Schizosaccharomyces pombe: one gene and its partners. The protein of the gene in region 3 interacts with the protein of the main gene of each other region in a biochemical or structural test. Each region holds a gene or a part of one and is shown on either strand. Other genes may lie near its edges.

Region 1 (11,473 bases), on a different chromosome or scaffold from region 3:
TGGAAACAGTTATTCTATTTGTGTCTGTTTTCTTGGTTAATTACTTGATACAAGATGGTGCTACTCATTGGCTTGAAGGTGTTCAATTACTTGCTTTGTATGCGATTGTTGTTCTCGCCTTTTTCTACTACCCTCAATAAATTTTGTCGTTCCCTCGCTAGTTCCTTATTATGTCTACTCTTATGTGCTTGATATACTCTCTTGATTTCTTTGTGTTTTACTTTACGAAACTATCATACCGAACTTATTGATTTCTTATTTTTTTATACTAGATTTTTTTTTTTTTTGGTTTCTGTTACAAGGATATTTTGCAGACTTATTTTTTAGTATGCAAGTGTTAAATTATGCAGAAATCTCCCATTTTCGCAATGACTACACAACTCTAAATTTCTATTGCAGGTCAAGCCAATATCTGCTTGTTTACAGTAGCTTTTTAAGTCGCTCATTCTTCAGTCTCAGTTTCATGTGTCTTACCAGCTATGAAAATAGAAAATTAATTTTTGAATAAACTCTTGTAAATCGTTGTTTATAAATCTTCATTTTGTTTATTTTTATTAGTTGTTTTGTAGGTTGTGTTTTACATGATTTAATAATACAAGCCATTAGTATGTGAAGTGGTTAATTTTAATTCTTCTTCTGTTTCTGTATATTCGAAGAAACAGAAAAAACTTCTTATCTCTTTCATTGGACTCTTCCAGGCGTAAGTATGATACCCTCCCCCAGCGTCAAGTTGGCACTTACCTTCTAATTTACGCACAATCTTTCATACATTCCTACTCTTGCTCTTTGAGTGTTGACACTTTTAATTTTATACAAAAGCTTTCAGTACACCTTCTATTAAACTATATACTGGCTATTTTCGTTCTTTCAATAGAATTGTACTTGTCTAAATAAACTTTCCAATACTACTACACTCACATCTCCTTCTTTGTTTTATTTATTTTCATTTAGTGGAAGGTATAGGGTTCTCTAGAAAAGGTTTACTAATTTTTTGGAAGACATTGACTACAAATGGAACCATTAGATGCTGGCAAGAACTGGGTGCATATGGATGTCATTGAGCAGTCCAAGGAAAACATAGAGCCTAGAAAAGCTGGTCATTCAGCTTCTGCACTTGCAAAATCTTCGTCGCGAAACCACACCGAAAAAGAAGTTGCTGGTCTGCAAAAAGAAAGGATGGGCCATGAACGAAAAATAGAGACGAGCGAGTCTCTTGATGATCCACTACAAGTTTGGATCGATTATATTAAATGGACCTTGGATAATTTCCCTCAAGGTGAAACAAAAACTAGTGGACTGGTAACATTGTTAGAAAGGTGTACTCGAGAATTCGTACGAAATCCGCTTTATAAAGATGATGTTCGGTATTTACGAATATGGATGCAATATGTAAACTATATAGACGAACCGGTTGAATTATTTTCTTTCTTGGCACATCATCATATTGGACAGGAGTCCTCGATTTTTTATGAGGAATACGCAAATTATTTCGAGTCTAGGGGATTGTTTCAAAAAGCTGACGAAGTTTATCAGAAAGGAAAAAGAATGAAGGCTAAGCCATTTTTGAGATTTCAGCAAAAGTATCAGCAATTTACTCACCGTTGGTTGGAATTTGCCCCACAATCATTCTCTTCAAATACAAATTCGGTTAATCCTTTACAAACGACATTTGAGTCAACAAATATCCAGGAAATATCCCAGTCTAGGACTAAAATTTCTAAACCTAAATTTAAATTTTCTGTTTATTCAGATGCGGATGGTTCTGGAAAGGATGGCCAACCTGGGACCTGGCAAACTCTTGGTACAGTTGATCAAAGGCGTAAAGAAAACAACATATCGGCTACTTCTTGGGTAGGCGAAAAGTTGCCTTTGAAATCTCCAAGAAAATTGGACCCTCTTGGGAAATTTCAAGTTCATTGTGATGAGGAAGTATCGAAAGAATAACCGATAAAGAAAAGATTTAAAGTATTGGCGTTATTAGATTAACAACTATTGTACATCATGACTCCCGGAATAAGAAATAGGTTGAAACATGCGAATTTTAAGGGTTATACGAACTTAACATAAAGCATCTTATTTATACTACGATTTGCAGCTTTTTTTTATATTTTACTCTCAAATTAATTATAGTCAGCCATAAGTTAATGAATATGATATAAATAATTCTTTTATAGACAATTTATCAAAATAATAAACAGATAGCTCGATAAGTAATTACACCTCTATACAAGTAAAGCTAAGACCCCTTAGCTATAAATATTTTAACTAATGAGAAGGCCCCTCAAAAACCACAGAAGCAGCTTTGCCCAAACGATTCATGATAGCTAGCCCTTCATTTTCCTCGGAGACACCTTCAACCAAAACAAAATCAACTCCCTGCAGATCCAAATCTCGCAATTGAGCGAATAAATTCTTTGTAATTTCATGTCCATCCCTTCCCATATGCAAAAATACAAACGGACAGTGAGAAGGGAATGACTCTTCGTTCCAACGTTTACTACATAAAACACCAATCTTCTGCTTTTCCTTAGTGATTCCCTGCTCAGATAAATACTTTTCAAAAACACCGTATGCATCAGATTCTGTGTAATTGACAAAAAGTAGCACTTTGGCAGTTGGAGAGTAGTGTCTGTATTTCATACCAGGAGTTTGAGGGATGAAATCTGTTTCCATATCACTTTTTTTAGCTACGAATACTTTTGTTCGCTCCCAGGCCCCTCCAGAGCTTTGAATTTCTTCTAAACTTATGCCTCCTGGCCGTAAAATTACGGGAGGATCACAAAGTCCATTTACAACTGTACTCTCCACACCAACACCGCATGCTCCCCCATCTAAAATTAAAGGAATTTTACCTTGTAAATCATTGTAAACGTGCTTAGCTAACGTAGGAGATGGCCTTGTTGAAGCATTAGCCGATGGTGCAGCTAACGGCGAATCTGAAATAGAAATAAGGGCAAGCGCAACAGGATGTTGAGGCATGCGAACAGCAAACGTTTTTTGTCCTGCTGTCACAATTGGTGAGACCGGGGGATTAGCCTCGTCAACAACTGGCAGCAAAATTGAGAGTGGACCAGGCCAAAACTTTTTAATCAACGGTAAATAAACTTTTGGAATAATCTCCTCTGAGTCATGTGCTTGATTTTTTACTTCTGACTTTGCTTTAGGATATGCACTCAACAGCAATCTACGTAGCTGATCCAGAGAAGCAACATGTACAATCAAAGGGTTATCAGCAGGGCGGTTCTTTGCTTTGTATATTGACAAGACTGCTTCAGTCCTTCGGGCATCAGCACCGAGACCGTAAACTGTTTCGGTAGGAAAAGCAACTGGATAATCGGTGTTTCTCAATATATTCGCGGCGTTCTCTAATGCAGAACGAGTTTCTGAGGGAGGTATGGACACCCTTGTGTGTTCAAAAGGATGTTCCGAATCATTACTAGGCTTTTCAAAAGAGATAAGGCGAGTATCAACTGTTTGAATTTTTGTTTCCATTGTCAAGGAAGAAAACCTAAGTTTCTGGCTTACTGAGGCCAATTTTGCTATAAAATTGTAATACTTCAGCTTGTTTTATGTTAATTGATTTAGAAAGAAGAAGCTAAATGCTGATAGAGAGAAGGGTGAAGTTGATTGCTATTATTAAGTTGAAGCGCATCATTGCTGGTTGTCGACTCTTGCAAAGTAAGAGAAATAATTGTTGAAGATATATTTAAAAACTCAAGATTATTTTACTCTAAATACGAAAATAAAATCTCGTTTGAGAAATTTTACTAGAGTAGTGATTGACGACGATCTTTACTTAAAATTTGAATTTAGCTACAGAGGTTGTAAAAAAGAAATGTAAGCGCGACAATGATTTCACGAATGAAAAGAACCCACTTACTGTTTTTATTTGTGGGTTTTTTTTTATCGTTTCTGTTATTTGGCAGGGTAAGAATATATTCTTCCAATACATCCCTTTTGACTAAGCATTTAGTTAATTTGCTAATGTCCAATGCATCAATCTAAATTATATAGCTGAATGTTTAACAAACAAATTTGACTTTGAATTAATCGAGACTGATTGTGAACTTCTATAAACATTCGATCATACTAGATTTTTCAAGCTACAATTTTACCATAATCTATTTCATAGTAAATGGCCAGAAAATTTTTGGAAAACTAACGTACCCAAGATGAATTATAAGGAATTTTTATTTGGGCGTGCAAGGAATGGTCGAAAGAATAAGCATAAACATTATATTTACATGAGATTATAGACATGAACTTCACATGATCAAAGAAGAACGAGTTTCATTCCTTTGTCATTATTGTTACAATATAAAGTTTCAGAAGAATGAAGAGAATTAAACAATACGATCCAAGGATAGCAATAAAAGTCCCATAACGGTAAAGATGCAAAAAAGCAGACGAGCGGTCCGACTACTTCTAGATTTGGCCTTGATTAGTTGTTGATTACCCCCAGACAGCGAATCCATGACATTAAGGGCATCATCATAAAGTTTTTCAGCCGCACTTGATTGAATAGATAGTTGAGCGGATATTTCCGACTGAAGTCTAGTAATATCAGCCAAAGATTTCCCTGTATCACGTAAACGTTCCATAGTATGTTCAAATTCTTGGAGTAAAACATCGTTCTCTTGCTCAAGTTCTTGAAGTTGCTGTTGAGTAAAAAATGTTTGTAATTCAGATTCAGGGATCTCAACAGCTGAATTTTCATCAGTAGGATTTTTTGTTAAAAAGTCTGAAGCAATGTTTCGCTTTTCCTGACCTCGTTTTAATCTCAGATCTTGTAAATGATATAGAACAGAAGAAACATCGGAAAGTTCAGACTGCAGATACCACAGAACAGATGAATGGTGGGCGACTAAAGTTTCCTTTTTCGATAATTTACTAGGGTCTCTTAAACCTTGCAGCCAACCACTTTTTTTAGGGATTTGACTTTGTTGTTCTACTCATGCAATTAGCAAGCATGTCCCTGTGTTTTGTTTATAATTTAAGTAAACATAATTTTACCAGTATTAAAATTTTAAGCTTACCTTTCACAATCTCCTGCAACTTAGCTATTTGATGAATACAGCTACTGATTGCCGAAGAGACTTCATGTTCTATTTCATCCCTTTGAACCTCATCTAGCTCAAGCTTTGAAAGCTCCTCAAGTGAACACTCCATTAAAGGTTTTGAGAGTCTTTGGACATTTGAAAATGTTCTGTCCTTTAAATAAGCTCCACGAATCTTTTTCAAAAATACTAGAAGATTAACAATCGTTTCATGCTGCTAACGTTAGCAATTTGAACTCTCTGATTAGATATAGAAAGCAATAACAAAAGTTAATACTGTCAAAAATTTAAACCAATCCCACTCAATAATTAATCGTATATTATGGTAGCGCATCTCCACAGTGATCAATTGAGTTGAGGTTAAATTTCCGATTGGTTCAATAATTACAGAAAACTCGTCCTCAAACTTACAATTCTATATCCTTCAGCCAAAAAAGGATCCGTATAACTTATTCTTTTCAAAGGAATGTTTGCTGCATCAATGTCGCCATTTTTTGTTAATCCAAAAAACTCATTCGTACGACTCGTCATTCAGAATTTGAGATGCTAAGAAAGGAGAAATATAAATCCCGGGTTAAATGAATTTCAAATTAACAGAACAGATGTTTAGAAAATGGTAGCATTCCATATCCCCTTATGAATAGTGACACGGTAAACGGAATTGAGAGACTTAAAGGTGCTCGTAACAAATGTTCAAAAAAGCAAAAAAAAATACTCCATTGTACGAGTTTTGTTTATTTACTTCAAGTCGATGTCTACAATAAATGAAATTAAGCTAAAGTTTCGCAATTTTTGAAGTATTTAGAAATGAGCTATTTTCAAGTAAACAAACAAACGTAACCAGTTATACACCTCACAAGAATGGAGCGCAGTCAAATTGTTTACAATTTTTGAGTTATTTTTAAAAATTTAGCTTGAAAAAAGTTGTTTGTGTCCTTTATCTCGAAGAAATAAGGTTTTTGTTTTGCTGGTGTTGAGGTTGCTATATAATAACATGGTTTGGGCGACATAAATTCATCCTTTACCAACGCTCTTCGAAACGTTAAATTTGCATATTTATCAAGCATTTTATTGCAATAAGGCTAATATTATTAACTTTAATTGATTTTAACCTTCAGTATTTGCTTATTGTTATACAATATACAGTGATTACCCCTTTTTCTAAAAAGCTGTACTTTCGCATCACATCTGATACCTGCGTTCCTTTCAACTTTTTAATATAATCATCCAAACGATTTTAAAATCTGGTTGACATTACCGCGGAGCTTTAAGCTCTGCATTACGATATATTTTCTCTTTCACCAAAGATTGCTTTCTTCCTTACCATTTATTCCTTAATCAGCTTCGTTAGTATCTTTTTTACAACCAAATTACCAGTTTGGTATGTTAATTCATAATGGCATCTAAAATGCCTGAAGGGTCTCCCCCTACTAGTCGTTCTATTCAATCTCGAAATTCCAGTTACTCTACCTCTTCCAACGAACGTATTGGAACACCCTCTACGATTTCCCTATCTGAAAATTCAGATCTTTCTAAATTACAAAGTACTAATGATTTTGAGTCGCGAGAAGATCTCTCTCTTACTTCCGATGACAATAATGACCCCGAATATGTTATGTGCTACAACACTGTTTATCACCAAAAGACAAAAATAAATGATAAACTTTTATCCGAAACTGAGCAGTTACGTAAAATTTATCCTTTAGAATCCCGTGTATTTCCAAAACCTACCATTGTTAAAGAGATTACCAACGAGCGAACCAAGCGCTACACTTTTTATGACGATGATGCTCCTCTTACTAACCAACATACTGTTTTAGATGAAGCAACTTATAATCGAATTTTAAAAAGGATAGACTTTTTCATTGAAAAAGTCGTTGAAGTCCCACCTACTTACCATTTTTTATCGCTATTAAACGTTCAATTACGTATTCAACCAATTTGGTGGATGGATGAATTTGCTGAAAGAAATGGTATTGAAAGTTTACTGTCTGCTTTAAGAAACCTGGGTCACTATCCTGAACGTGCATCTAAAACACCTCTTGAATCCCAAATAATACAGTCATTATTTCACTGTTTGAACAGCGAAAACTGCCGTCGTCGTTATCAGTCTTCAGCTAAATGCTCTGTTCCAGGATTTAATGCTCTAGGTACTATTGCTGAGACTGTGCTTTCAAAAAGTTTAAATTCAGCTCGCATGGCTACTTTTCTCCTTAAATTCCTTTGTAATAAAAAGGGGTTGAGTTACTTCAAAGCTGTAATCAGGGCTTTCGAATGGCTCGTCGAGCAAAAGTTATCAAAAACTCGGTTTAGCGCATGGATGCATTCCTTTAATGATGTGATTACTGGTGTCCGAGTTTGTGCTGATTCATCTCCTCAAGCGATTGTTCACATGGACGAATTTGAAGATACGGACTGCTTGATTGATTACCTTGTTGCAACTTTAGCTCTCATTCGAGATTTATGTGCTGCTCCACCGGATTTGCAACTTAGGTGTGCTCTAAGGCATGAATTGTTATCTGCTGGTCTTCAAAAGGCCATCGACTCTTTGTTAAAATGGAGAAACAGACACGTCCGTGATGCTCTGCAATTACTAATCAAAGAGCATAATGCAGATGCTCGGCGTTTCCGAAGTGGTAGTGATGTGAATAATGTAGATAGGAAATGCGTAAAGAAACAGATGAACTATAGAGAAGAATCACATACACCTCATGGAAATACTACTCGAAAGACCTCTACTCCTGTATCTAATAATCGACCCACAACTCCGGAACAACAGGCTGTTTGGGATGTTTTTCAAAGAATTTATACTCGCTTTACGGGAAGTGAGGGGTCTAAAGAAAGTTTCATTAAACTACTCGAGTATTTTGTGACTGAACCCGACAACGGAAAAATTCAAAAAAGTATGCAGTTATTGACTCACACGCTTGAGGCACTGGAAGGTTTCAAAACTGCCAAAGCAGATACTAATGTCGGTCTAACGATCCTATCTCAAAGACTTTTAGACAAACTTGGTACCGCAGAGGAGATTGCAGAGTACAAGACAAAGTATAATGGAGCCATGCTTGAAAACAAGCATCTGAAAGAACAAGTTGAATCTATGCTTTCCCAATTGAACGTTGGGCCCCGCGACCCTATGCAGTTTCTGAAGAAACAATTGGATGAATTGAAAGCTGAATTAAATCTTAGAGACAATCTCCTCGCATCCATGCAGCGCGAATTTGAAACGCGTTATAGAGCTCAAATTCAAGCATACAATAAGTTGCAATCCCAAATGGAACACGTGCAGAATTCAAATGAGCAGCACTTACAACCGGGCTTACTTAATAAGGTTTCAAAAAGTTTTGACAGTGTTCATAGAAGAAACCTTTCTCAAGATTCTCTAGATGCGATGACCGAACAGTTTTCTTATCATGTTGAGCCAAATATTTTAAGTGGAAGTGGAATTCCTGTTCGTGTACATACACCATCCAAAACTGAAGATTTGGACGAATCTTTCTCCGGAAGTGAAATATCTTCCTCGCCTTCGCCATTGCTACCAGATGTTTCCGACACCGTAGAAGAGCAGCAAAAGTTATTACTTAAATCTCCTCCCCCACCACCTCCTGCTGTAATAGTTCCAACACCAGCTCCAGCTCCTATTCCAGTTCCTCCTCCAGCTCCTATTATGGGTGGACCTCCACCACCTCCTCCTCCACCTGGTGTAGCAGGAGCCGGACCTCCACCTCCACCACCTCCACCCCCTGCTGTTTCTGCTGGTGGAAGCCGATATTATGCTCCAGCACCGCAGGCGGAGCCAGAGCCTAAGATTGACGAAACCAGCTTAACAGAAGAACAAAAGATTCAACTTGAAGAGGCCAGAAAACAGCGTAAAGCTGCTGATGATGCAGCGAGAGCAGCCATAGAAAAGTATACAAGTATCCCTAGTCTTCGTGATCTTCACAAGCCAACTCGTCCTTTGAAGCGCGTCCATTGGCAACGGGTTGATCCACTGCCTGGACCAAATGTTTTCACAAAGTTCTGCTTAAATTTTGACATTACCGCTAAAGTTTTTATAGATAATGGGCTTCTCGATTTTTTGGATGAGAAATTTGATAACACTCCTAGGGAAGATTTTGTTGCAGTGGAAATTTCTGACCAACGATCTTCTCTTTTACCTGATACAGTTGAACAAAATATGGCTATTATTTTGCGGTCTGTATCTAATATGCCAGTGGAGGACTTAGTTCAAAAGTTTTTAGTCGAACCCGACTTTTTACCGGCCTCAATTTTATACTTTGACCGCGCTAGCCTTGCATCTACCAATGCCTATACCGATCCATTCATTCCTTATAGTACGGATTACACAAAGAAAAATCCAAAAGAACCAACGGCGGATGTGAACAGTTTATCTTATTTTGAGAAATTTTTTGTATTGTTCGTCGTTAACCTTCGGCACTATTTCCAAGAAAGGATGAAAGCTCTAAAATTTCGCTCGACGTTGTTTGGTGATTTGGAAATACTTGAAGTTCGTATGAAAGAAGTCATTGACACTTCGGACAGTATTATGGAGGATAAAAATTTTGCTGAATTCTTTCAAGTCTTACTGATTATTGGCAACTATTTTAATGAACCTTATGATCGAGCATCTGCATTTTCCTTGTATATGATATATCGCCTTGAAACTTTACGAGATAGTTCCTCAGCTCTAACTTTGATGCACTACTTTGATGAGATTATACGAACTCGTTTCCCTGAATTATTGCAGGCGGAATCCACGTTTAAAAAAATTCAGAGTGTTTCCGGATACAATATAGATGCTATGGTTGCGGGTGTAGATGGTGCTTATGATGAATTCTGCGACTTTCAAACGTCTCTCAAAGACGGTGCTCTATCGAAATGCGACCAGCATCATCCAGATGATAAGGCGTACGATATTCTTTCCGAATGGTTGCCTGAGGCTAAAGAAAGGATTAGGAATATTAAAAAGCTTAAAACTGATATGCTCACTAAACTTGAAAACACTGTGAAGTATCTTTGTGAATATGACTCCATTGATAAGGTTAGAAACTCTTTCTTCAAAAACCTGAATTCTTTTTATGAAATGTATTCCATCGCCAAAGCAGAGAATGAGGAACGTTTTGAGAAGGAGAAAAGACGAATCATGTCGGAGGATCGTGACAAACTGATTCGTGGTCGCCAAAAGACATCCATTGTAGCAAAATACAGAAATAAAAGAGAGTTACCAGAAGACTCTGATGATAAACAAGATACGGCCTCCAAGGATAAAAATTCCTTAGAAACAATTGATGAAAAAATGGAAGATGCCAGTAAAATAGAAGGTGATGCTAAGACCGGAGATGATAACGAAATGGAAGATCTTGATAAAATGGAAGACCTTGAAAAACCAGATTATGCTGAAGAAAAAGATCCATATATAACTGTAATGTCAGAATTACGATCTCGTATACAAAATGTCCCTAAAAGGACTGTTACTGTTTATTCCGATGAAGGCGTTGCTACACTTGAGCCCGGAGCTCAAGGGGATGATGTTGTAGATAAGGCCAAAATGATTCTTGAAAAAATGGAAGGACATTCCCAACTATTAACTTCTTCGGCAAATCCTGATGAGGAGGTTTTACGTGCCAAACTGAAAGCTGCTGAGCGTTTGCAAAAACCTGCAATTCCTAGAACACGCCGTAAAGGCCACACTGAACCAAAGAGTGCTAAGTCACTACTTGCAGAACTAACTAACGGGTCTAATGCTTCAAATCTAGTTGAAAATGACCGCCAAAAACAATAGTTGCTCCATTGTTCTTTCTAGGATGGATTTTTAGAACAGTATATCTGTACATTACATACATTGACGATTTGTCTGAAAGAAGTTAAAAATTTGTGTGCCTGTATTTTTTGAAGCTGCTTCAAAATATATTGGTGACACAGTTATCTGTATTATTACGCATACCGCTTGTCGTTAAAAAGGCTAAATTTCCAAAAAACTGACAGCAAATACAATCACTTGTTTTTCCAAGTGCTTAGAAGTACTGAACTTACGTTGCAAAACGTTGTTCATTTTTGACTATCCTTTTTTGCTAAATGTCAGCATTTTTATTTGAAAAGAGACATGTTGGGATAACGATTCATTAAGGGGAGCTTTTTATTACTTAACTTCATTTTTATGAAGCTAACAGAGAACAAATTTGGATAAGCGTCGCACCAATTGTAAAAGGAATGCCCAATCGCTTTATTTAGATCGACTAAAATGTTGATGTTTGTTTGAAATCTCCACCAAAAATTTTATTCTATTGTCATCTTTATTTATTAATCTTTTTTAATCATTCGTTTAAACAGTCCTTGTTGTTTAATTATTTATTGCTCCTATTTTCAACTGTTGACCTAGCTTTTGAAATATAGGATGAAGCGTTAGTTTCCTGTAT
Region 2 (10,517 bases), 2.1 Mb from region 3:
AAACAAAAAAATAACCTATTGAAAAGCCTCGATTGTACACAACCAAATTTAATAAAAATTGGATTGCAAAAAGGCTTTCTCATTACTCAAAACAATATCTTTGAATTGCAAACTTTCAATTTTACATTTCTGACTGCAAGTTATCCATCAAGTTAAAAGAGCTCGCCCACAAACCCTGGTGTAACTACAAAACCTTTAACTTACCGCTTGCACTGTACGTATATCCAGAATGGCTAAAAAGAATAAAGCTCGGTAAGACATACATGCTTAATTTAATGCGCATTTTTAACATTTATTTTTCAGTTTGCTTGTAAAATTATTGTCCACCGCTGGCACTGGATTTTTCTACGTTCGTTCACGTCCAAAAGCTGCTCCTAAGCTTGCTTTTATAAAATATGATCCCAAGTAAGTTATTATGGATTTTCTAAAGCCTCATTTAAGAAGCTAATGAATGAACCCATAGAATTCACAAAAGAGTACTTTTCGAAGAATCCAAAATGAAATAAAAACTTCTTCCATTTCAATGATAGTCTGAAAATGAAATGCTAAATTATGACCGATCAATCTACCTTTTTTCTTCAAAAACTTTATGGATGTGCATTAATTATGTATTAGCTTCCCAACCTACATCTTATACGACATAATTCTAAACAGCTGCGTGAACATAAAGACCCTTATATTATTCTGTCATATCTATAATTCCTATTTTTATTATTATTATTTAAGAGAAGGACTGAGATGTCAAATTTTCAAAGTAATAAGAATGTTCCTTTCACCTGTACCAATTGCTAGCCGAATTAGAACTATAGTAGTAACATCGTTTGTGTTTACTACTCTTGTAAGCACTGTAGCTCAGATCATTCGATTCTAAAATTCTCAAGCAATATTTTTAATACAAAATGGTTGTACTATTTAGAAATTATGCAAAACATGGCAAAGCATTGAATTGCTAAAACCAATCGTCGTTTAATGTCTTCGTAACATTTAATTATTTGTTTTCTATTAGCTTATACGATGCAATTATTTTTATTCCCTCGTTCCAATTCTTAGTGTAAATTTTTGTCTACCTACATTTTCTATGTGGAGCAAACTACTACACTTTTCAACGCTTTGATCACGATGCCAAAGAAAGCTGCATTGGACGAGCTTAAATGGAAGGAAGTCAAGCTTCCTGACCACCTAGACGACTTCGATGGGTTTATGGGCTTGGAAGAGATTGAAGGTGTGGATATCAAATATCAGCCAAAAGGTGCTATGAAAGAAGTAATTTATGAGGTATAATTGTTTATTATCTAATTTATTAACAAACAGTTACCAGAAGTTCATGAAAAAAAAGATAAAAAGCCGGAAAAGCGAAAAAAAGATCAAAAAGAAGCTAGTGAAAAAAAGAAAAAGGGAAAACGTACTTCCCCTACTATTGAAATGACTTCACTAGGATCAAAGGTGACTTCTAAAAACTATAATGAATTCTCTACATTAGAAGAAGAGGATGAACACAATTCTCATGGTGTGGACGTCTCTGCTTGGGCACACTTTTCACTTTCACCGGAAATGCTTGGCTCGTTATCTAAAGCTGGCTTTTCAAAACCGATGCCAATTCAATCATTGGTAATTCCTGAAGCTTCTATTGGATTTGATATCATTGGAAAGGCAGATACCGGTTCAGGAAAAACTTTAGCTTTTGGCATTCCCATTTTAGAGCATTGTCTTCGCAATGTAGATGCAAAATACGTACAGGCTCTAGTTGTTGCTCCTACCAGAGAACTTGCTCATCAAATTTGCCAACACTTTGAACTTATCAAGCCAAGTCCTAACATTCGTGTTATGTCTATAACCGGTGGATTAGCAGTACAGAAGCAGCAGAGGCTTCTTAACAAGCACCCTCACGTTGTGGTTGCAACTCCGGGTCGCTTGTGGTCTGTCATCAACGAGAACAACCTTACAGGAAACTTTAAGAAAATCAAGTGTTTGGTATTAGATGAAGCAGATCGTTTACTGCAAAAAAGTCATTTTGAAGAATTGAGCAAACTACTTGAAATTTTAGGAAATCCCATGCATACTCAGCGTCAGACTTTTATCTTTTCTGCAACTTTCGATGAGGGTTTACAGCAACGCCTTAAAAAGAATATGAAAGGCAATATAACTGAGAAATACAACAGCCCGATGGGTATGTTCAATTAGAAATATTTTACTTTCTCACTTACTAACGACTGCATAGAAAATATGTTGAAGGAGGTTCGTTTCTTTGGCAAACCCAAATTTTTGGATGCCAATCCTCAAAGTGCAGTGGCAAGCCGCGTATTAGAAGGGCTCATAGAGTGTGCTCCAGCTGAAAAAGACTTGTATCTTTATTATTTGATCATGCGTTATCCTGGAAAAACCATGGTTTTTGCCAATGGTATTGAGGATATTAAGAGAATCACTCCTTTTCTAAATGAGTTAAAAGTTCCATCCTATCCTCTACATGCTCAATTAGATCAGAAAAAAAGACTTCAATCTCTTGAAAAGTAAGTTATTTTTATTTATATGTTACTAACTAACAAGGTTCAAAAATAATCCTAAAGGAGTCCTTGTTTGCACTGATGTGGCCGCCCGTGGTATTGATATTCCTAGTGTTACGCACGTAATTCATTATCATGTTCCTCATACAGCTGATATGTATGTTCATAGAAGCGGTCGTACCGCTCGCGCTAACGAAGATGGCGTTTCAATTTTAATGTGTGGTCCTAAAGAACTGTCACAGCTGAAACGACTATGTTATCGGTTGAAAAAGAAAATCGAGACCTTTATTAATTTTCCTGTGGATATGTCAATATTGGACATTTTAAAAACGAGGGTCGTCTTAGCACATAAAATTGTAAATCTCACTAGAAAAGACGGAAGAGTGGGACGTGAGGAAGCTTGGTTAAAATCGATGGCTCAGGAATTGGGAGTTGAAAGTTCTGATGATGAGGATCCGGATTTGCCAAAAAAATCTGAATCTAGTAAGAATAAGAAACAGATAGCGCATCTTCGCTCAGAGCTTGCTCCCTTATTACACGAAAAAATAAGAACAGGATTTTCTGGTAGATACTTGACGAGCGGTCTTGTAAATATGGCTGAAAAATTAGCCAACGAAGAAGTTCATGATAATATTATCGGAATGGACTCAATTAGTGCTTTGGAAGTTCTGCAAAAAAGGAAGAAGTAAAAAAGGGTTTTTACTTAGCTACTTTTCATATAGCACGGGTTTTCATTTAGGTTTTTATACAATGGTTTTTTGGTATTTTATAGTTATGGGTTAATAATAATATTACTGCTAGATAAGTATCAACAAAAACGTCGTATTAGACTATATAAGTGAACGAATTACTATAAGATATATCATTAATTATAGTAGCCTTATGTATCTGGCTTAAACATAAGCGAACGAGGGTGCATTTACACGTTGACTTTACATGCCTCTGGCATCTGTTTGCTTTCACAGGCAAGAGCATTAGAGGTCTAGTTTCTCGTCTCTAAAAAAGCTCAACGTCTAATATAGTTCAACCTGAAGCGGTCTTAGTATTAAAAACCATAAACACTAATTAGGTGGTCATAACGTAAAATGAAGTGAAATAAATAATTTCAAAAAAGTATGCAGCTTTAATAGTCAATCACAATTTTAATTCGTTAAGAATACGACTAGCCAATGTCTTATATTGCCATGAGTTTCCACTAATTCGATGAAAAGAAACGCCACGAAGAGAGAGTATAGGGACTTTCACAATATATATTTCAAAGGCAAGGTTAGAGGCAGGCGACTCACCATTGTCATCTAATGGGACTGTGTCCGGCACCGATCCATAAGAATCAGTGGTAGAATTAGAGCCATAAGAAGGCTTACGTCGTGTATGAACAGAAGTCGATTTTGTAGGGGTTCGGATACCCTGAGGTTTATATAGACATGCATAACCACCCTTGATCTCTTTATACTCAATATCAAGCATGCCCATTACCCGAATAAGATCTCGTTGAATTGACTCAGTACTTTTAGTCGATGTAGTGGAAACACTGAACAAGCCTTTAAGGAAAACAGGCTTTATAGGATCCAATTTATCCGTAGATTTGGATGGGGAAGTAGAGTTCTTGTCCACCGGATTGCCCATCGTTTCATTAAGGATTTGCTTTTGGCGGTTGGTCGTAGAAGTTGACATCCGCCCATGCCCCAAGGAAGCACCACGAGGATTAAGTACACGATTATTACGAACCGACGGAGGTGCATTTGCCATATTGGATGCAGAGGGCCCTGTTGAATCCATGTTTAGTGAATCCATCTGACTGGAGATACCAGCATAGCGGCCCTCACGAACAGAGGTTGATCTTCCAATAGCAGATTGGGTAACAAGTTTATTCTTGTAAGATACTGGGGGCTTGTGAGACGGCTTGGTTCGAGGTGTTGGTGGAGATTGTGAGGTCTCAAGGGGAGCACTAATTTGAAGAGTAGATGTAGAAGACTTATTTTGTTTTCGGCGTGATGAAAACCTTCTAAAAATGCTGGATGGATTCTTTTTGATGGAGGAGGTTGCTGAAGGAGAAGGGGAGTGAGATTCCGTATCAGGCAAAGGCTTTCTGCGTGCAAGTGATGTGTTTCGAGAAACACGAGGTGATTCTTCGTCGCCTTTGTAGGCAACAACTTCCGGCATTGGCGGTAAAGTACGATTATAACTAGTTGGCTGAACTGGCGAAGAAGGAACGCTAGAAACTGGTGTTTTTGCTATCCTATTCCAATTTCCACCTTTTTCATATACACGACGTTCAGAAACTAAATAATAAATTGAAATGAGAGGATGAAACGCATCATAAATATCAGTGTTCATTGAAAGAGATGGTAATATTGGATTCTCGATATCATGCGCAGCATGCCTAATCCGGAATTCAAAGAAAGACTTTTTCTTGTCAGCTGAATTAGGCCCGGAATAAAATCCAGTTTTAGCTAAAGATTGATAAGCTTCACTGCTAATTACCTTAGTTAATTCACGAACAATTTTTTCTGGTGGTCCAAAATCAAAACCGTTCATTTCCCTAATAATTTCAGGATCTAATGGAAGAGTGATCGGAGATCTTTCCGGAGCAAACGAAGCTGGAGGTCCTTCATAATTGCGAATCATCCAAGGATGGTTCAAAACTTCTTCAAGCGTGGCTCGCTTGAGAGGATCAGTAACCAACATTCTTGATAGTAAACCTTTACAATCACTACTTAAATAACTTGGATACTCGACGGTACCTTTTTTTATTTTCGCATGCAAGGCAGACATATTTTGATCATCAAATGGCACTTTTCCGCAAACAAGAACGTAAAGTACTATTCCAAAACTCCAAACGTCTACCTCTGGACCAATGTACGGTTGAGCATTCAAAAGTTCTGGAGCAGCAAAATATAATGAACCACAAAACGTGCGCAAGCGAGACTGACGTCGATACAAATTTGAAAGACCAAAATCGATAATTTTGATGTCACCGGTCTTCGAAATTAAAATATTTTCAATTTTTAGATCTCTGTGCACCACAGAGTTTTGATGCAAATAACTCAGCGCACTTCCAATTTGACGCACAAATTTTCGAGCTTGCTTTTCTTTTAATTTTCCATGTGAAATAATATAATCCAGCATTTGACCACCGTCGACAAATTCAAAGACCATATAATAATGACTATTAGTAATATAAACATCTCTTGCCTCGCAAATATACGGATGACGGAGCAAAGTAGATAAGGCAGCTTCGCGAACAGTACGAATTTCCTTGTTTTTTTCTGATTGTGCTGCCTTAGTAGCCTCAGCAGAAGCAGCAGCTTTTGCCTTCGTTATGTCTGGATGAAGACGGGTAACTATTTTAATGGCAAACTGTTCACCTGTTTTTAAATGATGCGCAACTTTAACTTTCCCCATGCTACCAGCCCCAATGGTTTTACCTAGTACATAATTGCCTATGACTTTTCTTCTTTCACGAGGCTTCTCGTCAGCGCTATAAGAATGCCCAGATACAGGTACTCGCAGGCTATGATCCCGCGTACGAGAAGGAGATGCTGGTAGCGGTTTTCGACTTGATGGAGACCTTACGGGGCCATGATGTGGAGACTGAGAAGAAGGAGAAATATACCCAGGAGAAAAAGATAAACCCAGAGGCTCTACAGCGGATTTTGGTTGTGTAGAATAAGAAGGAGATTGCATAAAAGCATCCACCAGGTTGTGATGACGGTTGGGCGAGTCAGATATTTTAATTTTCGGCAACGCATTTAAAGCGGCAGACTTTGTCTCATTACCGACGGGTACGTTATTGGTACGGTACTCCATCAGGAAATGGGATCAACAGACAAAAAAGCAGATATAAAATTACTGCTTGAACTTTTGAGAGGCAAAAATTAGCAATCAACTCAAAATAAGCCGACTGAGTAATGTAATAAAATAATAACTTTGTGAAAATAATACAAACGTGTAAATCTTGGTTGACAAAAAATACTTTGTTATCGTAAATCGTGGCACCAGTTTCCTTGCGAACCTAAGATGACAAATATTACGAAAAAGCGTGAAATCCGAAAAATTAAAAAGAAAACAATAAAGGGACGAAGAAATTCTTGTACGAGATGAAAACAAATAAGCAAAGCGATCTAGTTACAAGAATGCTCGTGGCTTAGAAACGGATTAGTAGTCAATCAATATTGTTTGTGAAAAGAAGGATGCTCACAAGCCGATAAAGCCGTTTCTACAATCAAAACAAATAAGCAAAGCTTGAAAAGATAACAAATGAGATTATTAGAGCAGCAGGAAGATGGAAGAAGAACAGGTAAACCGGCTTAGCTTTTTCGATGAACAAGATAAACGACCAAAAAATATAGTTGTTTCGATAATTTTCGGTCGTAAAAACTCTTGTTTGAGAAATTCTAGTATAAACAGGTCTCCTGTTTCTTTTATTGAGCAACAGAAAGTCAAACGACTTTGAGATTTTCCCGCAATTTGTTTCCTGTCTAACAACCACTGCAAATCTATGCTACGTCCCCTAAGGCATTCAATATCTCTTCAATTCTTTCCTTTCAATTAAATTATTACAAAAAAAGGAAATGAAGCCAGAAACTGTAAAGGAAGGATTCCCTAACCCAAATGCACTGGCTTTGTTGTTGTACGGAATGGTTAAAGCAGCAGTGGAGATGTCATGGATGAATGCACCATGCTAAAGCATTCATTACGTTTAGTATCGATTTATATAGAGATAAGACTTCAAAATAGCCTACCAGTTACTATTTTCTTAAACTTTTATTTTTTTAATCTATTTCATGTATTTATCGACTTGTATTTTCCTTTCCCACACACCCTTTTAAAAGATCACGACTGCTATATACCGAGGCGCAAGCATGCTCCTTTATGGTTATGAGAAAAACATGGTATCTAAAAATGGATTTAGTATGCAGCAAACGACTCAATTGAAATTGTATACTTAAATCTTTTAAATATATGCGTATTCAAAAATACAATGAATAAATCACCATCACAGTTTCCTCATAAATGAACAAATACGCGTGTGTTTTTACATTATTCATACATCTGAATTATCGTGCCAAGTCAAAACTTTTTAAATTAACGAAATATTAAAGTTACTCTAGAGTTTTGTTTTAAGTATTTTTCATGTCTCTTAAGCTTATGAAATTTATTTCGATGGAACAATCAATTAATTTTCTTAACGACTAAAATTAGTCATCGACCATGACGGTACTCTTAATTCATTGATTGTTTTTTTGTTTTTTTAGTCACAATTTAAAAAAAAACAAAAACTGGTTTCTGTCTCTGATGTGGAGTAGAGAAATGGTCTTTTTTACTACATTTATTGCTTGTTATAATCATTAAATACACTTCGCATTGAAAAGTTGCATTGCACACAAACAATGCTTTCGAGCAATTAAACCAATTCATATACAATTTTACTGCAACATCCATAGTTGCTCAGAAAGCTGCCATGTTTAAATATAGGGAAGTCTAACATTACTCGTTAGGTGACTTTCGAAATATCATCCTTATTTACTACGATTGAGTTGGCGGTTGTTGTCATTTCACATTTACGGAATTTTGTAGATAAACTTTCTGACGGTAACTAATAAACCAAAAATACATCTATTTACTTTGGTTCCCGGTAACTAAAGGATTTAAGGACTGGAGTAATCTTTTTCTATAAGTAATAGAGCAAAAAGTCCCTGGTCTTAACCAAATAATCCTTTCTTTCAATTTCTGTTTCTCTCTCTTTTTTTTGGCATACTTTCACAATATTCATTTATCTATTTTTAAACGAAGTAAAGAAAAATGAAGTTTTGCTCCCTGTTTCATGTATTATCGTTTTGTTGTACATTGGCTTACGCCGTCCCTAAATCTCAGTTTTTGCAACTTCATTCACTAAGTAACGCCATTCCCGTTGAATGGAAATGGTACGGTAGTGTGGATGAAGATTCAGGTTACGTTTACTTAACCAGCAAAGACAGTAATGAAGCACGCTCTGGATCCCTTTGGTCAACTAGCGTTTTACGACAAGTTGGCTGGCAGCTATCGACTTCATTTGTAGCTCATGTATCAGAGAACGAAAACACCTTTTTTGCGATTTGGTATACAAGCGCTGTCGGTTCAGAAGGTCCAGTTTTTGGCGCCTCCGATAAGTGGGACGGCCTTCTGATTTCCCAGGAAATCGATCAAACTGGTAAAATCTTTGTTCGTGGCTATTTGAATGATAAAAGTTTTGAACTTGCTCAGTTTACTGACCCCGATCTTCCGCCCTTTGCTAAATGTACCATTGAGAGCTCTCCTGAGGCTTTGAACAATATTATTCTCAAATACGGTGACCAATCTGGATTAGAGTTATTTGTGAATGACAAGCCCTGCTTTCAAGTAAAAGATGTCATTTTGCCTCAGGGGTATTATTTTGGAGTTTCCTCTCAATCTACGTCTGCAAAAGACTTGGTGGCTTTATCGAACCTCAATATACTTCCTCCAGATACATCTAATAATGAAAATTTGAATCCTACCTCCAATACAAAGCAAAGCGTCGGTGACAATACTAGTCCTCAAACAGTTATTGACACTGAAGGTTTGAACGCAATAAAGGCTGATTTGGCAAAGCTTTTTAATCTAGTAGAATCTCAACGCCAGAAGATGGACTCTTTGCATTTTGCGTTGACTAATGCTTTGGAGCGTTTGAACGATATTTCTTCTACTTCACAGTTCCCAAGTGAAAGATTTAATGCCCTTGAAAAATTGCTACATGATTCTCTATCTGCGCAATCTTCCACTGCAGATGGTACTTCTAAACATTTAGCAGAATTTGAAAAGGAGATAAAAAAGGCAATGGGAAATGCTTACTCGCCATATAACTTGACAAACTTTATGGTTTTCTTGTTATTGGGTGCAATTGTATCCTATGGTATAATGTTGGTTCGTCGTGATCGCAGAAGACATAAATACTTATAGATTCGATTGGGGTGATTTGCCATTAATTTTCAGAAACGGTATAGGCGTGTAAAACGCGCAGTTATGAAGTGGTGTTTTTATACAAAGAATTGCTCATCTGTTTGTGTTTTGACGATTATCCTTTCTTTTGACCGTGGTTGTCCTGTCTTTTCATCATCAAAATTTTTAGTCATACGAAATGCATATTTGAATCATTACTTGCTATTATCTTAACCATCTTATAAATAATATATAATTTTCATATCTTAAGATATACACTTACCTAAAATGGGGGTCCTCTAGTTCCATAACTTAACATCACTATATCTGTTTACAAATTTCCTGTTTTTAAATGTTTTACTAATGCCAATAGGCACGAATCAATTCAATCTCCTCCTACTACACTTCTTAGCAGAAATATGCAGGGTAAAAAAATTATATATTTGTACCGAGACTAGAAAGTACATGATGCAATTTCGGAGCTCAAAAGTGAATTATTAAACTAGTTTTTAAGCTAAAGGAAGCCAATGCGGTTGGCTACATCAAGGGCATCGGCATCGGCAGAAAGCTTGACAAATGCCTTTTTGGTACCATTGGGACGAATTAAAGTGTTAATTTTAACAGCATCAACACTGTAAAGTTTCTTGACAGCATTTTTAATAGTAAACTTATTAGCCTTCAAATGCACATGAAAGACGAGAGTATTGTCATCCTCAATCTTCTTCATAGCAGATTCCGAGTTAATTGGGTTGACAATAATTTTGTATTCATCAAGACGGGAGGCATGGGGAACACTCTTACGAGCATATTTGGGCTTACGGGCAAGCTCGAGGGTTTTGGGGCTAAAACAATTAGTACGAAAAAAAATTTAACTTATTTTTTTATAATCACGTTAATATTCTATAAACTTCGGTATGCATAAGAATTGCAAGCCTATAATGAATTTTCAAGTAATCAATTGGAATAGGTTCTAATTATTCACTTTATCTTTAGAATCTCTTGCCCTAATCATTTAAAATGGTCACTATTCGGCCTGGTTTCACGCCATTCTTAACAATTCTTGGAAAGCTACAGCGA
Region 3 (9,419 bases):
TATCGGGACATGAGTCTGGAAAACCTGACAAAAATGGGTGTGTCAGCAGCAAAGTTTCAAACTACAGAAGAATTGCGGAAACTTTTTCCAAAATGGATTGGCGAGCTGAATGATGGAGAAGCTGGGTATGCCAATTTTAGTTCTGGATGGGCCAACGCTGAGCAGTCTGTGAAATCCGTAGTTAATTACTTAGCACATGCCGGTGTTTCTTTCATTAGCGGACCTGAGGGAACTGTTGAAGAGCTTATAACAGAAGAAAACGTTGTTAAAGGCGTGAGGACTACTACTGGAGCTTACATGGCCGAAAAACTTATTTTTGCTACAGGTGCATGGACTGCATCTCTTTTACCTAATGACCACACACGATTCTTGGCAACCGGTCAACCAGTCGCATACATAAAATTGACTCCTGAGGAGTACATCCGCTTTTTGACAAATCCTGTATACTTAGATTTTGATACTGGATTTTATATTTTTCCCCCTACCCCCGATGGTTATCTAAAATTTGCACGCCATGGATACGGATTTACGAGAATGCAAAATCTTAAATCCGGAAAAGTCGAATCTGTTCCACCAAAGAAACCTCTCGTTTCTCCTATCCTGCCCAAGGAAGCGGAATTAGATTTACGCAGAAACCTTCAACGTACTTATGGCGAAGAAATTAGTCAAAGGCCATTTTACAAAACCCGTATTTGTTATTATACCGACACAGCCGATGCCGAGTTTGTATTTGATTATCATCCAGATTATGAAAATCTGTTTGTATGCACAGGTGGTTCAGGCCATGGATTCAAATTCTTTCCAATCCTCGGGAAGTATAGCATAGGGTGTATGTTTCGTGAGTTAGAGGAGCCCTTATTGAAGAAGTGGAGATGGAAGAAAGAAAATTTGGAGTTTGCTGCTTTAGACCACAGCCGAGCTGGACCCTCTCGACAAGAGCTAAGCTAAGATGTGCAATGCTAAACAAAAGAAAGGCTAGCGTCTATCTTTCTAGGCTACCTTATTTTTGTGTTGAATACTAATTGATTCTTCTTCATTCGAAATATTACGAGCATTGAATGTATACACATTAACAATTAACATCAACTTTATAACATCCAGACGATTATGTCGGTTTACTGTTTTCGAATAAAAACAGGGACATTTTCTATACCCTTTACATCGAACTTTATGTCCTGAATTAATATTACAAAGCATGCTAAGTAAAACCTTTTTTTCAATTATTTTAGATATGCATCATATAGCTAACTCGTTGGCTTTAAGAGAACTAAAGCGTCACAGCTTACTGAGGTTGTTTTTGATACTTAGATGCAATTCAAACATTTATAAATAATTAAATTTGACAATCTAATTAGAAATAACATAAAAAAAAAAATCAAAATAGAATAAAATGATCAAGAAGCTTTTTGTTTAAATGCAAATACCGTACTCGCTTTTATTCGTTGTATCGGTTAAACGACGTTTTACTGTTACGTTATCTGCCAATCTCGGATTTACGTAGCATCAAGTACGCATATCTTACCGCAATATTTAGAGGCGACTTAGTTTGTTAATATATTATATTTTTACACTAGTTATTGGAATGTTAACATTTTGAAGAGCAAGATCGTTTTATTTTCAAAAAGATTTTGCTGGATTCGTTGTTACGATTGACGTTCTAATCAACCCAACTTGAGTGTATGTTCATCAGGATCGGTATTTCCGTTTTCACTAGCGTTTTAGCCAGTATCCTGAATTTTTACCAGTTATAAATTGTATGAGGTTGAGAGTTTCTTATCCCTTTGCAACGTGTTTGTTTTTATCATTAGGAGTAGCGGTTTTTGAGACCTGAAAAGTGTGTTTGCTGTTTTTGCACATTTGTTCAAGTTCATGAGAGCTAACTACATTGTTTCAATATGTTACACATGAATAGTGCCAGTAGTGCTGACAGCATGGAAATTATGGAAAGTCATTTTGACCCGACACAACAGAATGATAGCACTATAATAGAAAGTCGTTACTCTCCGGAAGAATATCTGGAGCAGTCATTCGAGATACAAAGGATTATATCAGGAGAAAATAGTGAACCCCAAACTGTAGCGTCGCAAGAAATTAGCGATTCTCAAGAAGAAGACACTACATTAACATCGTCTCAATTTGAGGATTGTGGGACTGAATATAATGAAGTAGTGGAAGATGATGAGTTTCGCTCTGAAGATGAGGATGATTTTATGGACGAAGAGGAAGAATACGCTTTATATGAGGCAGAATTGAGTTCTTCCCCATCTATTCACGAAGAGGTTATTGATTGCAACTTTGTTCATGCCATTCGAGGCTTCGAAGCTACTGTTGAAGGACAAGTTGATGCTACTAAAGGAGACATGATGATTTTATTAGATGATTCTAATAGTTATTGGTGGCTTGTAAAAATGTGCAAAAATTTGGCTATAGGCTATTTACCTGCTGAATACATTGAAACTCCTTCAGAGCGTTTGGCTCGATTAAATAAATATAAAAATTCGGAAACGTCCAATTCTCAGCAGTCTGTGACTCTCCCGCCTTTAGATATTGTGGAAAAAACCTTGGAGGCTCCATCCCCAAATTTTCGTATAAAACGCGTTACCTTTACTTGTTCTTCTAATTCTTCCGATGATGAAATGGATTCTGAAAATGATTATGAGGCAATGGTAAACCGAACTGTCGCAGAGAATGGTCTTGAAATAGAATTTTCGGACAGTAGTGATTCTTCTCTCTCTGCTGAGTACCGTTCCGAATCCGAGGATCATGTAACTGATAGTCCTGCTTACGTGGATCTTACTGAACTGGAAGGTGGGTTTAACCAGTTTAACTCTACTTCTTTTCAAAGTACATCCCCCCTTGGTCTTGAGATTGTTGAAACAGAAATTAATGGCTCTTCCACTACTGCAGATTCGAAAAATTCACATTCCCCCTACTCTAAATTCTCATCAGCTTACCCAGATGCTGAAAATTCGAATATTAGTAAAATAAATATCTCAATAGCAGGAAACAAGGAATTATATGGCAATGCCACCCAGTCTGATCCTTCACTTTACAGTACTTGGATAGCAAATAAGCATAAAACTGCTTCATCTGCAACCGTTGATTCTCCATTGCGAAGATCACTATCAGTTGACGCAATGCAATCGAATGCTTCATTTTCTTCTTATTCGTCTACATCTAATACTGATAAATCATTGCGGCCTTCTTCTTATTCCGCCGTATCGGAATCCTCTAACTTTACTCATGATGTATCTCGTGATAACAAGGAAATCTCATTGAATGCACCAAAATCAATTATAGTTTCTCAGAGTGACTCTTTTGACACATCTAATGTTACTCAGGATGCCCCAAACGATGTAGAAAAGGAACCAATTTCTGGTCAAATGCCCAATAATTTATCAGTTCAATCCTTAAAACAATTAGAAGTGTACCCTATTCGACATTCGGTATCGATTGAAATGCCATCTGAAAAGCTTCTTTCCCCTCGATTATACTCTTCATCTACTCCATCCTCTCCAACAAAAGGATTCCAAAAGGATGACGAAGAAGACAGCGAAAACCGAAAGCAAGCAGATAAGGTTGAATTATCACCAAGTTCGCTTCTTCGTCAGATGTCTTTACCTGTTGATTCTTCCTCGCAAAGTGATGCACAGTGCACAACGTCTTCTGTATACATAACAGCGGAGCGTAAAGCATTTTCTCAATCTTCAATAGATTTATCAACATTGAGTAACCATCATGTAAATAACGAAATAAACAGAAGAAGTTTTGCGGGTGGATTTACAAGTTTAGCAGATGAATTAAGCGAAATGCGTGAGCTACTACACGAATCCCCGGCTCCATTGGAGTGTAATGAGGAAATGGTTATACCTACACCTGAGTTAGATGCTTCAAGTGCAATCCCGAGCTCTTCGATTTCACACGATGAGGATTTGCTACCAAGAAAGAACACAGAGGAATCTACCTCTTCTAGTTCCTTTTCCTCTCTTATCACTTCTCCTGCTTCTTTGCAATATGATGAAAATCCATTCAAGCAATCTGTGGTTGCGGAATTAAATAATAACTCCTCTTCGGTGCCATTCGTTGATTCGGCTCATGCTTCTGATATCCATGCGTACGATAACGACCACGTTAGTACTAAAAACAAAGAATTTAATCGTCGGTTGAGAGAGTTTATATTGGATCCAGACTCTCTTAGCGGGCTATATTGGAGTGTAAAATCAGCGGGAGTAAGGGCATCCCGCCGAGTTTCTCGTAATATCGAGGGTGAATCGGTGTCCTCGGACTTGGATGATATTTTTGCTAACGTATTGAAGGGTTTATCAGATGAGATGGCCTCCCTCTTAAATACGAATCGCTGAAATCTTTGATTAATTTAAAAGTTATACCATGTTTTTCCCCTTTATCAAACTATTTACACTCGTTATAAATCAGTTTTCTGTTTGATTAAACTGTTTCAAAAATTTGTTTGTTAATGTCTTTATGTTTGACTTTTTTTTCTTGTTAATAATATTTTTTAATAACTAACAGCATACCATAGTTGTATAAAGGTCTAAAATTCAATGTGCGGGTATGATTCGGATTATTGAGCGCTATAAAATAAATGTGTTTAAGTAAAATCTACCGAAGTATTAAATGAGCTAGTAATTATCTTATATGCCATTTCAAATTATAGTATCGCTGCATCATATTTTTTGTACAGTAATGCGAGCAGTGAAAATGTAAACTACTCAAGCAGATAGTAGTAGGCTTTGAGGGTATGATAGATTTTATGCATCCGTAAAAATAAGCCAGTGTACTTTACTTATGTGGCATGATGAATCAAATTCAATAGGGTATTAAAAAACAAAATTAGCACGATTTATAGCGATTCTTATTAAAAAATATTTCTCTTCTCTTTTAAACGAAAAAAATGAGATATTAACAAACGATGAACATGTTCATTAATCATTAATATGAGAATATCATCTGCTTCTACTTTTAAGGTATCGGATTCATCATCAAACCAACGGTGTATTTAAATGTATATTTTGTAAGCGATAGGCATATTGATTGTCTCATAATAAATAATTTATGTTTTTTCACTGGTAATTTTCACGCTAAATTAGATGATAATTAGCATCTTGACTACCAATTTCTCACCATCATCATAATTGAAGGGCGAAATTTTCAAATTTGACTTTTAATATTCTTTTAGTAATTGCACGAAGATATGTAAAGGAACATGGAAAAGTAAGAATGAACAATAAAATTTTTATTCCTTTACAAATTTACGACTTGTTATTAATTGGAAAGACAAAGCAATGTTATTTCTGTAACGAATTGAGTTTGTAGGAAGAAACAAAGTTCCTAAAAAGTATGCAAATATCTTCAATATGCGCTAAATAAAGAAAACAGTTCGTACAGTAAACAAAGTCAATAATTCGAAGCGACTAAATAACGAAAAATTTAGAATGAGACGGATATGAAATGCATTTTGAATTGACCCGTTTTCATTTGTACAACCACCATACATGATTATTCTCAACATTGTTTTTTATGAATGCGAAATAAGAAGTATTAGTTTAAAACATCAAGTAATTTTTTAACACGCCACCACGAGTGGACAATGTGAAGTTTACAACTTGTGCTAATTTTTTTGACTACTCAAAAAATTAAATATGCAGCACAAAACGAGAACTGAATTATATGCAAACCCTTATACACTGAGCCTTAAAATTCATGATTTTTTACTTGCAACAGAAAGTAATAAGTAGCTTAAAAAATTAGAGGAAATCTGTTAATCGTTACAGTGGATTCTCACATTAGACAATAACTACATTATTACGATAACAAATCATCGTTCTAAATCACAATATTTTATTATGCTGTTCATTATTTTGTAAACATTAATTTTGTTTGTATTAAAGTAAACCACTAAACCAAAGGAAAAAAATGATAATTAAGTTTGATTCATTAAGAATCAAGATGAAGAAGAAATGAATGCAATAAACGACAATGAAATTGTGAATTTAACAAGGCGAAACAACGAGTTTTTCGATTTCATTAGTTGATGATAACAGTCAATTAGTGAACTGCTATTTTAAAACGAATAAATAAAACCATTATTATAATATTCAATGCCCAGTGTATGTTATTCACGGAACCTTTCAAGCAATGCACTTGCTCATCCAATTCGTCAGGAAATGAAATATGCAATAAAAATACATGTGACATACTTTAAACAGATTTATGATTTGTTTGAGTAAATCACAATCATAAAGGCGCTTCTTTATTGCACATTCTTATGAAGAAAAGAAGCCTCGTGTAAAAAGCGACTTTATCATACAATTAGTAAAGTTAACAATATAATTAGGCTTCACTTTCGGGGTTCATCTCACGCAATGGAACAGCTGTGTATTCATTCACTTGCTGTTTGGCCTCATAACCTAATGATAATTAGCATACACAATTAAAAAGATATCATATTAAATTTACCCATCTTTCTGATCAAGTGTTGGATATGCCAACTGTAAACAATGATCACATCCAAGTTATTTTACAGCACTGGCAAGTTTCAACTTTCAATTGAGTAATTCCTTTCTTATTATTTACAATTCTTACCTGAATATGGAGGCAATGTACTTTCCTCCTCTGAATCATATTCTGGGAGGGGTCCTTTTTCCAAATCGATTTCATGATCTGTCTTCAATTCATCTTCTTCATCTAGAGGACTTTTCAAAGAAGTGTAATTATTCTTCATAATAATAAAATCATTCTTTATTTAATAAAATACATGCGCGAATTAATTGCTATGATTGCGACAAACCAAACAGCGAAATCAAGAATATTCACTTTGTAGTCCAATTCCAATCGCTTTAAAGACTTTTTAACAAAATAATAAAATCGTTCAAACAAATTTCCAACTAATTCCTTCAAACAATGGCATAAAAAAAGAAGAACGAAAAAACTGAACGAGGCAGTGAATTACTTCTGACACATTTATTTTGTCACTGCCCTTTTTATTCACCCCAACTTAGTTTTCCTTATACAGCATACTGTTAAAATTGGTTCGCTACGTTGCGTGTCACTAATTTCATATTTGTAAAATCATGTTTTTTAATATAGACATCAGTTAAGAACAAAGACTTAGAAGATTATAAATGGAATTAGTCGCTGCATCTCATTCCTCAGTTCAATTATTAGCTAAATCGGTGACTGATACTGTTAGGCGTCTTATAACAATAAATATAATATTGTCAGTTAACATAACGCACAACGCTATATGATTTATGTATCGCTAAAACAGATATCAAACGTCGTCGATGTCAACAGTATACGGTATACTTGAAATTTCGTTCCTACGTCTTATTTATGATGATACAAATGTAAATTTTTGAATTGTTGTGCTCAAGGATATAATAGAAATTTCTTTTTTAAAGCTTTATATGTAGAAAGATGATGTCTTTATTTTCTCATATTCATCTACTAATATGTTGCTCCCATTTTTTTTCATTATTCGTACTAAGGTGTTATGCAAACAGTATATGGTTGCAACGCATATGTATTAATTTTTAAGGAAGTTGCTCTTTGCATGAAATTTCCAATCTTTAGGGATCAAGTTCAATTATATAAACGCAAAATTCAACTTTAAATGATATGGAGAAGAGTGCAAGGCAATTATCAGTAGCCGAACAGAATGGTGAATCGGGAAGATTAAATAATGGATATACTTCAAACAATATTCAGCAGTATAAAGATGAAACTAATCGTCATCAGTTCGAGTATAACCAAAATAGGAACCAATTGTTAAGATCCATCCATATTATTCAAAATCTGTTAAATGAACTGGATAATTATGTAGATCGATCTGACTGTTTGTTCCACAGTGTTTGGAGAACCGATAAAGAAAAATCTAAATTTTCAGGAAATTACTATCCATTTAGTCCGTCCAAAATGAATGTGATCACCATTGATCTATCACTGCGGTCGTCGTCGACTGCTGATGAAAAATTAATCAGTCAATTGGGCGAGGAAGCTCATGAATCTCTACTAAAAGTACACATAGAGAAAGCAAATAAGCATCTCTTTTCACTTTTTTCTAGAGTAGAAGATACCTCTTCGAAAATCCTTATCACCGGGGATTTAAACGCAGGTAAATCGACCCTTTGCAATGCTTTGGTACACAAAGACATTCTACCAGAAGATCAACAACCTTGTACTGAGGTATTTTGTGAAGTGCACGATGCTGAACTCAATGATGGAAAAGATTGTGTTCACGCTATTCCTCATGGACTCACGTATAGTCATACTGACTCTTCAACATATAAAGTTTTTCCAATCGAGGATTTGAAACGCCTTGTTTATGAGACGGAAAATTGGAGCATGCTAATTGTATATGTCAATGATGGAAGACCGGCACATGAGAGTTTGCTTCACAATGGAATTACAGATATTGCACTTATTGATGCTCCTGGCTTGAATACTGATTCCATGAAGACAACTTCAGTATTTGCTTGCCAAGAGGAAATTGACGTTGTCGTTTTCGTTGTAAACGCTGAAAATCATTTTACCCTTTCTGCTACAGATTTCTTAAGAAACGCCTCCACTGAGAAATCCCACATTTTCATTATTGTGAACAAATTTGATAACATCAGAGATAAAGAGAGATGTAAACGATTGATCCTTGAACAAATTCATACCCTTTCTCCTGGTACTTTTGCTGACGCTAAAGACTTGGTACATTTTGTGAGCTGTCGTGTCGCTCGTGATCCAAATAATCGAGAGGATGCTCTATATTCTTCTTTTTTTCAGATGGAAAACTCTCTCCGTAGCTTCATTCTCGAAAATCGCTCAAAATCTAAACTTGCCCCGGTACGTAGATACTTGTCAGGGTTAGTCGGTGATATACTTAATATCTGCGAATATAACATAAAACTTATCGATTTTGATATTAATCACTTGCAACAACGTTTGACGGATCTTTCTCCAAAATTTCGTAAGGTAAAACATGAGCAGCAATTTACCTATCAGAAGAATGAATCTTTAGTTGAAGCGACTGTGCAATCTATTTCTCAGCATACACATTCCGAATTAGAAGATGCTATTGACTCATTAGGTTCTTTTGCTTCTGTCAAGTATTCTGGTTTTTTCTTTGCCTACCAGTATGCGATATCCGTAAGAGACGCCATGCAACAATATTTAGAAGAAAAATTGTTGGAGTCAGAAGATTATGCTCGAAAGAGGACCGAAGAAGCTGTCTTATGTATTCAAAAAGATGTAAAAGATAATTTTGACTCCGCCGTCCTTCCAGTCTTTCATGCCAACCAAATGTTTATTAAGAAACATAGATTGCAACTGCAGAAGCATTTTCGATTTGAACTTGGCTTGCTTGATTTTATAGATCTAGACCTTACTGAGAGATTAGGAACCTGGAGCGC

What was found.
Region 1: the proteins of tea4 (region 3) and for3 form a complex in vitro, tested with the Schizosaccharomyces pombe proteins (one study listed by BioGRID).
Region 2: of the proteins of tea4 (region 3) and kin1, one has a biochemical effect on the other in vitro, tested with the Schizosaccharomyces pombe proteins (one study listed by BioGRID).

The regions. Positions count from the first base shown.
Region 1 is NC_003421.2:996,677-1,008,149, forward strand, and holds for3 (formin For3), read left to right. Parts: upstream 1-6,073; 5' UTR 6,074-6,453; coding exon 6,454-10,839; downstream 10,840-11,473. Other genes in the region: vcx1 (CaCA proton/calcium exchanger), read left to right, coding at 1-140; mitotic spindle checkpoint protein Mad3, read left to right, coding at 1,012-1,944; SUA5/yciO/yrdC family protein Sua5, read right to left, coding at 2,266-3,492; SNARE protein Ufe1, read right to left, coding at 4,344-4,948, 5,037-5,271, 5,469-5,588. UniProt on the Schizosaccharomyces pombe protein: Involved in controlling polarized cell growth. Required for interphase actin cable formation and microtubule organization.
Region 2 is NC_003423.3:2,690,962-2,701,478, reverse strand, and holds kin1 (MARK/PAR-1 kinase Kin1), read right to left. Parts: upstream 7,148-10,517; 5' UTR 6,312-7,147; coding exon 3,636-6,311; 3' UTR 3,351-3,635; downstream 1-3,350. Other genes in the region: mrpl39 (mitochondrial ribosomal protein subunit bL33m), read left to right, coding at 230-252, 304-405, 464-506; ATP-dependent RNA helicase Mak5, read left to right, coding at 1,120-1,275, 1,312-2,167, 2,219-2,507, 2,545-3,190; emp46 (lectin family glycoprotein receptor), read left to right, coding at 8,307-9,461; rpl2502 (60S ribosomal protein uL23), read right to left, coding at 9,955-10,282. UniProt on the Schizosaccharomyces pombe protein: Has a role in establishing the characteristic rod cell shape. Important for cell polarity and is involved in directing growth to the cell ends.
Region 3 is NC_003423.3:586,834-596,252, forward strand, and holds tea4 (tip elongation aberrant protein Tea4), read left to right. Parts: upstream 1-1,525; 5' UTR 1,526-1,895; coding exon 1,896-4,361; 3' UTR 4,362-4,601; downstream 4,602-9,419. Other genes in the region: fap1 (L-pipecolate oxidase), read left to right, coding at 1-948; dynamin-like GTPase fzo1, read left to right, coding at 7,639-9,419. UniProt on the Schizosaccharomyces pombe protein: Cell polarity factor essential for the bipolar localization and function of structures containing the cell-end marker tea1 during the normal cell cycle.